Linked DNA regions of Danio rerio. The main gene of each other region encodes a partner of the protein of the gene in region 2 in a complex. Links are inferred from orthologs where the notes say so. Each region holds a gene or a part of one and is shown on either strand. Other genes may lie near its edges.

Region 1 (4,382 bases), on a different chromosome or scaffold from region 2:
ATGGTTGATGTAGGGGTAGAAGTTAATAAAATACAATTTAATAAGTAATTTAATATATAATATGAATAACACTCTGTAAAACGATTGTTTTTACACTACAGTGAGAGTTGGGTTTAGGGTTGGGGTATACAATAATAAAATACAATTAATAGGTTATTTAATAAATAACAAATTATTCTTGTTAACTTCTGGCCACAGCTGTATCCCTTTTAGCAACATCCGAGAGAGTTTGTTTGGCTTTTTCATGGCAAAAACAGATACAATTTATAAACATTTTTTAATTTTAAGATCACTTTCCTACAACCAAAAAGGTTTATAACAATAAAAATACATTTAAAAAATGTAATGATACATAAAATACAAATCTAAAAGATTTATTTTTGATAAAAATTCGATTATTTTTGATCTCAGCGCTAACAGTTTTGTACGTTTAAAAACATCTTAATGTAATCATCACAATGCAACTTACTTTTTAATATGTGGTGTGTTTATAACAGGACTTGCTGGTAAAATTAGCTTTCCGATAAAAGACATCTATGAAGTTTCTTAAAAACAAACATCCAATTTAAACTGTGTATAGGATTTGCCTTATAATAGTATGCTGTTGTTTTACTTATAGTAAAGTAATATTAATTTACTTACACTTTTTTTATTTAATGTAAACATTTTCGTTTAATAAAGTAGGTTTTTCACAAAAAAATAAATAAATAAAATAAATAAATAATAATAATAAAGAAGAAAAAACAGATCTCAGTTTGTAAAACCCAATCCTAGACCAGTGGTTCTCAAAGTGGGGGTCGGGACCCGCTGGGGGGTCGCATAACAATGACAAGGGGTCGCTTGGTGATTTCCAAAGTCAAATAAGTTTTATTAAACTATTTGAATGACCATATTTTACTCATAACCCACAGAAGATAATAGTTGTGTTAAATAAACAACAACATACAAATAAACAAAAACAAAATTATTATTATATTATTATTATCTATTATAAACAAATAAAAATCAAAGTCATCAGCCTTTACGTTTTATATTATAAATTAATAAATGAATATAAAAAATATATACGGTTAATAGACTGTTGCATTTATGTGTTGTCAATGTGCTCATGTTTATACATGCCTATAGTTGTGTCTACAAGGTTTATATATTTACAGTGTAACCACCTTGAAAAATGGGGGTCATGAGTCACTGACATTGTTATTTTGGGGGTCGCGGGCTGAAAAGTTTGGGAACCCCTGTCCTAGACTATAGTACCTTGTAATGTTTGCCAATTCTGCAACTGTGATCTTGAAACGGTTGACCATCTATTTCTTCATTGTAATTTGGTTAGTTCTTTCTGGTCTGATGTGGACAATTCGATAAAACAATAAATTTCAATGTTTCCTTCTATTTGTTAGAACATTGTAAAATTTGGAGTAAATTTGGACAGCAAAGAGGAAATTGTTTACTAGTTTACTTAAAAACTTCATTCATAAATGCTAAATTTTGAAAGCAGCTCCTCAATTGACTGCGTTTAAAAAGGAGTCTGCCACATACGCAGAAGCTTTAAAAATAATGAAGTGTGAGAAGGCTATATACAACTGTATGATTTGTTTCAAGAATATGCTTCTATTTAACCCTTTGCAGAGTTTCTGTTTGATGTCTGCGCAGCATGTTGTTCTTTTTTTGTTATGATATTTTATAAATTGTACAATATATTTTGATATTTGATAAAAGGTTATAAATTGTTTTATAAATGTGTATGTTTGTGTAATTGTATGGCTTTATATTTGATTCACTGTATATCTGACATGCCTCAGTCAGTTTGTGCAAGATTATGTTTGGATTGAGTTTGGCCTAAATTGTCATGTTTTTAAAAGGCAAGTAAAAAAAATTAATAACTATATTACCTCAAAAGTCATTGGTAAACCAATAATAATAATAAAAAACATACTAAAAGCGTGGACTTCTTAGTAAGTGAGGATAACTTAAAATGTATTTAATGTCAGTTTTCTGATATTAAATCTCCATTCCTGTCACAATCTGTTATTTGTTACAGCATATAGATATATTTACACAGTTGCAGTCTACCTAGGCACTAGGCAACATGTTGATCACCATAAGCAAATGCCCATGACACCTAAATCCTAAATAGACTGTATTTATTTTAAATATGCAGCCTTTAAAAGGCATGCAAAGCGATATCTGATTCCCATAAAGCTGTGTAGGTAAGCAGCTCATAGATTTGAGCCACAGCCAAGAGTCTCTGTCAGGATAAATGAGAAAGTTTTCCTCTAAATAATGATTAACTGTCTACGACTGTAAGAAATACAGTAAATATCCAGCCTGAACACGCTGTAATCATACGGACAGCTCTGATACATGGCTGTATGTGAATGAAACAACGCTCCGCATGACAGTTAAAGTCTTTTAAAGAGCTGATCTCATGTTAGCAGATTAGCTGGTTAGCTTCAGATGAGAGTGCGCTTCATTTATAAGCACTAAACTTCATTTGAACTCTCAAACGTGTTCGTTCTGGACGTGAACATGTCAGGAGGTGTGAAGTGAGCGTGTTCTGTGCTGATTTACCTGTGGAAAGACGATGAAACGGGTCAGAGTCAGCGCATCCCTGCTGTCATGCTAAAGCTAAAGCTAATCCCAGCGTTCAGCCGAACCGGATCGGTTCTGGATCTGCGTTGAAGCAGGGGAAAGCTCGTCTCTTGTGCTTGTGGTGATTTTTGGTTCATCAGATGATCATTGTTGACATTTTCACAGCTTCACGTCCTCCAGACCCCCGTGCCCGAACCGAACCCGCGCTGATCCGGACCGGCTCCCGTTAAACCTCCGCCTTCCCCAGATCCCGCACTCCTCTACATCAATGTTTGAAGAATCCGGATGATCCCGATGAACTCGACACGACCACACGGAACCAGAGAATCGCGGATCGGCCGCTGATTGATCGCAGTTTCTCTTTTTGTTTGGGTCCGACAGAGTCTGCGCAAAAGATACGCAGAGATGAGCGACGCGAGCACCTCGCAGATTTTTTGCGATTGCGCAACACCGGGAGCGTCGCGGACTGGTTTGAAACGAAAAACCTCCGCAGTTTGAGGACGTCATCATTTGCAAGCACGTGGACGGCGGAGTACGGAAGTGCGGAGATGCTCGCATAAGCTGATGTGAACGCACATAGGTAACGCTCATTTAGAGTTCAGCTAGAATTATTATGTAGAAAACAAAAGGCTGTTTAATTATAATGCTTGCCAGATATTCATGCGATAAGTGCAAATCGCTCATTGACAGCGTATCCAACATTATTATAGAGGTCACGCAAACCCTGTCACGCGCTTCAGGTCACTGTTGGTGTCTGTTTTTGTTTTGTAGTTAATGCTAGATGAAGATTTGAACATGATTATGATGATAATTAGCTATAGTTATGGTTAAAGTAACATTCTGACACCTGCCAGCAGTAGTGGAAAGATATGGAGTCAATCTAGGGTCATATATACCTGCAACATGAAGGAAAGTTTTGCAAACAAAAAATAAAATAGAAAAATAATGCAAATGTCAAAAAAAAATGCTATATTGAGTTTTGAGAAATAAAAAGGAATTTTGCAAACAAGAATAAAGAACTGTAAATAAAAATCAAGTAGTGCAAAGAACATTTTATAATTGGGATAAATTATACATATATTTGCTAAATATTTGTTTTCCAGTATTGCCTTTACAAAACCTCTCAAGTCAATTGCAATGTGTACAATGCTCATTTTGATTTGCTTTTCAGTCAACCGTGAGTTTGCAATACTGTTTTTTTTTTAATTGCACTTCACATTTTTATCTGCATTTCACTTTCTGGCCCTGATTTCAAAAGGGGGCGGAGACACTGGAACTGGGGCGTGTACAGCATGCCCAGACATGCCTCCTATGAACAAGTAGGTATTGCTGTAGCCCGAAGACCTCCAAGTGGGAGGGATTACCCCGCAAGTAGGTTGGGTGACCTCCAAGTGGGAGGGACTTAAACCACAAGTAGGTTGGGTTTAAGTGGTGTAGGTGAAGTAGATCTTAATAAAACACATCAGGTTACTGTGAGGTTGGGTTTAGGGTTAGGTGTACACATTCATAAAGCACAATATTGAACTCTAAATACAACTAAATAAGGTTTGCACAGCCCACTTGGAGCTCTAAGGCCCACCCACTTGGAGCTGGCACCGACCTCCATTTATACCCTTCTCTTTTTATCTGCATTTCACTTTCTGGCCCTGATTTGAAAAGGGGGCGGAGACACTGGAACTGGGGTGTGTACAGCATGCCCAGACATGCCTCCTATGAAGGAAATCAGCCATGATGATCAATCGTTGTATTAAGTATTTTATACGCTGTTTGGGGGGCTGTTTAAATCGTCA
Region 2 (3,656 bases):
AAACATAGCTACAGTGACACAAGTTTAACAAACATGAATTCATATTGAGTAACTGGTCCCACTTTATATTAAGTGGCCTTAACTAATATGTACTTACATAGGATATAATAATTTGTTACAATGTACTTATTGTGTAAATACATGTGTTTACTGTGTACTTATGCTTGATTAAATACATGTCTGTAATTACATCTGTAATTAACTTTTGTAATTACATTTGTAAATACACTGTTAACCATACCTTACACCTTAACCCACCCTTAAACCTACCCATGCCCCCAAACCTGTCCATAACCCAACCTCTATCCCAACTCAAAAGCACCACAAGTGCTCTCAAATACATTATAAACACAGTAAGTACTTTATATTTATTTTTTAATGTAAGTACATAGTAGTTAGGGACACTTAATATAAAGTGGGACCGAGTAACTCACATTTAAGACAATTTTTAGTTTTTGTTTTGGCAACAAAAATAATTCCAAACAAAGCTAAAGCAGAAAACTTCTAGAGCAAATTAATATGGTTTTGATTAAGGGTGCTTTCACACTTGTGAATCGATTCAGTTGTTCTTGCCCTTTGCTCTTGGAGCGGTTCGCTTTCACACTGCAAAGTTTCTAATCGGACCAAAAGAGCTAAAACAAGTCACGTGCGAGTAAACTCTCCTTACATTGGTCAGAGTGTCAGGGTTTATTTTGCAGCATCCCTCTCAGCTGTCAGGAGAGGTGGTGGTTTGGTGGTCATTGACAGGGTGCGCGCGACGTGTCTGAAGAGAGACGCGGTGGGGAGGGGTGAGAAGGGTGCGCGACGATGCCTATTTGGGGACCGGGAGGGAGACGCAAGATTACCGGGAGATCATCACTTGTTTGCGGGCATCCGGAGACTCGCGAAACTTCCCGCCCTACTCATAATTCTCTCTTCATATATAGCCGTATATGCCTATTACATATCCATAAAACAGAGTGATATAACCGCGCTCGGATCGGATCGCTTTCTCACTGCAATCGAACCGCTCCAGGGTTCGTTTCAATCGAGCCGAGACCACCTCATTCAAGCGATTTCGGAGCGATTACTTTGGCGCGGAACAGAGCGCGATTGCCCTGTTCACATATGCCAAACGAACCGCGCTAACTGGGCAAACGAGATACGTTCCGAAACAAAAGTGTAGGTGTGAAAGCACCCTAAGTTGATGGTCCAATGATCCACTCAATAAGAGTCTGTTGCTTCAGTTCAAAATGGATCATTTGAAAGAATGACAACGATCCCTCATTAAAACAGACTTGCTTCCACCTAGGGGTGATATTAGTGCCTTATTTATTCATGGAAGTTCTAAACCAGACCTGGAGTGCCAGCGCAAAAGAACACTCAGTAAAATGACATTTTAAAAATGCCAGTTTATGGAGATCGTCTGTGTCAGAATCATACTTCCTTATTAAAACCCAAATGTTTAGTTATTGAAAGAAAGAAAGAAAGAAAGAAAGAAAGAAAGAAAGAAAGAAAACAAACATACAAATAAATTCCCCAAGAAGACATAAAAAAAAAAAGACCTTTAGAGTACGAGTGGGTGCCCATCCAGTACCATCAATTGAATGCTCTCGCAATAAACTGTGGAGAGATTTTAACAACAACATAAACACAGCAGTAAAAAGGACAATGTAGAGTCTGTTGCATAAACACATCTGAAGACATGGCTATCATAGATATACACACCTCAGACAAATCTCGCCCGTTTCTGCAATGTTCGGGTGCCATATTCTAGTCAAGCACTTCACTTTGGGAGGCTGTAAAAAGCAGAATATGATTTGTTGTAGTTCAATGCAATATAAATGAACGTATTTTGCATAATGTGCTTCACACGGGTAAGTGGGCTTGACAAACCACCAGTAAAAAAACACAATCTTTAATTTCTCTGACACTTTAACTGACAGTTGCAGTTTTTTTTTTAAACAATCACTCCATATCTCTTAAAAAACCCATGTGCATTTTCCAAGTGTGCTTAACACAGGTGAGTGGGCTTGACAAACCCCCTATAGAAACATTATTCTCTCTCTCTCTCTCTCTCTCTCTCTCTCTCTCTCTCTCTCTCTCTCTCTCTCTCTCTCTCTCTCTCTCTCTCTCTATATATATATATATATATATATATATATATATATATATATATATATATATATATATATATATATATATATATATATATATAAATATAATTATATATATATATATATATATATATATATATATATATAAATATAATTATATATATATATATATATATATATATATATATATATATATATATATATATATATATAATTATATATATATATATATATATATATATATATATATATATATATATATATATATTTATATATATAAATATATATATATATATATATATATATTTATATATATAATTAATTCTCTGAGCACAAACAGATCCTTTGTATCATTAGCTCTTCTTGTGTGTATTGCCTCTTCTTGTTGAATCACTGAATGCCTCCTCAATTGTAAGTCACTTTGGACAAAAACATCTACTAAAGCAGTGTTTTTCAACCACGATCCTGTAGGACCAGCAGCTCTGCACATTTTCCATGTCTCCCAAACCAAACACACCTGATTCAGGTCATCAGCTCATTAGAAGACTAAAAAGGACCTATAATGGGCATGTCAGACAAAGGAGACACATGCAGTGACATCCAAAACATGCAGTGTTGGTGGTCCTCCAGGAACATGGTTGAGAAGCATTGTGCTAAATGTAAATGCTATGTCCAAAAATGAACAAGACTAAAGCATAAAAGACATATGCACAGATTATGCTCTGTTGTGTAAAAACAAAAAAATAAACAGAACAAAAATCTTTTTTCCATGTGTTCTAATGGGTTTCTTTTCTCCATGTGCTCTGGTTTCCCCCAAAAGTCCAAAGACATGCAGTACAGGTGAACTGGGTAAGCTAAATTGTTTCTAGTGTATGTGTGAATGAGAGTGTATGGCTGTTTCCCCGTGATAGGTTGCAGCTTGAAGGGCATCCGCTGTGTTAAACATAAGCTGGATAAGTTGGTGGTTCATTTCGCTGTGGCGACCCCTGATTAATAAAGGGACTAAGCTGAAAAGAAAATGAATGAATGAACATCTAGTCATTACAATGTTTGCTTAATGCCTGGTCTAATGCCTTACGCCTCAGTAATATCTCATTAATGAATCTAAACTTGAATCTTAAGGTTGGTGGTTTATATCTGGATCTCTGCATGTGCTACACATGGCTATTACAGGTTGTTTAAGGTCAAGGATGGGTGTTGTTATGTATGTGTGCATTTGTGTGGGAATACTTAGGCAGCTATTTTATTGAATTGGGATACTGCAGAGCATCAGTAATGCCTGCAAACATCTACTTAAGGGCCCCGCTTACAAATGGACTAATAAAATCATCGTAGCACTGCCAGTGAGTAAGTGTGGCATTACCTCATTACTTCATGATATGTCACAGGCACTTACCACCATATTATAGGCTTCAGGAACTTCGATCTCAAACTGAAACTTTCCACCAAGGTAATAGCCTTCATCTGATGAGAGGTTTAGTGGCAAAGTCAGGTTATATTTTCACTTGCAGAATATCTGAGGCATTTGACAGATACTAGCAATGTACGACATAAACAAGG

Evidence for each region.
Region 1: the proteins of ube2f (region 2) and dcun1d3 are in contact, whole or in part, in a crystal structure (PDB 4GBA), measured with the Homo sapiens proteins. The link is inferred for Danio rerio from reciprocal best matches to the Homo sapiens genes UBE2F and DCUN1D3. Residues at the interface, in NP_001265234.1 of Homo sapiens: Leu2, Thr3, Leu4, Lys7, Leu8; in NP_775746.1 of Homo sapiens: Glu108, Glu109, Glu112, Pro122, Thr123, Glu124, Met139, Cys140, Glu194, Ile204, Ala207, Leu208.

What each region holds. Positions count from the first base shown.
Region 1 is NC_133199.1:43,233,786-43,238,167, reverse strand, and holds the start of dcun1d3 (DCN1-like protein 3), read right to left. Parts: upstream 2,946-4,382; 5' UTR 2,572-2,945; intron 1-2,571. UniProt on the Homo sapiens protein: Contributes to the neddylation of all cullins by transferring NEDD8 from N-terminally acetylated NEDD8-conjugating E2s enzyme to different cullin C-terminal domain-RBX complexes and may play a role in the cell cycle progression by regulating the SCF ubiquitin E3 ligase complex, after UV damage.
Region 2 is NC_133176.1:8,066,425-8,070,080, reverse strand, and holds part of ube2f (NEDD8-conjugating enzyme UBE2F), read right to left. Parts: intron 3,561-3,656; coding exon 3,493-3,560; intron 1,779-3,492; coding exon 1,708-1,778; intron 1,603-1,707; coding exon 1,545-1,602; intron 1-1,544. UniProt on the Homo sapiens protein: Accepts the ubiquitin-like protein NEDD8 from the UBA3-NAE1 E1 complex and catalyzes its covalent attachment to other proteins. Together with the E3 ubiquitin ligase RNF7/RBX2, specifically neddylates cullin-5 (CUL5).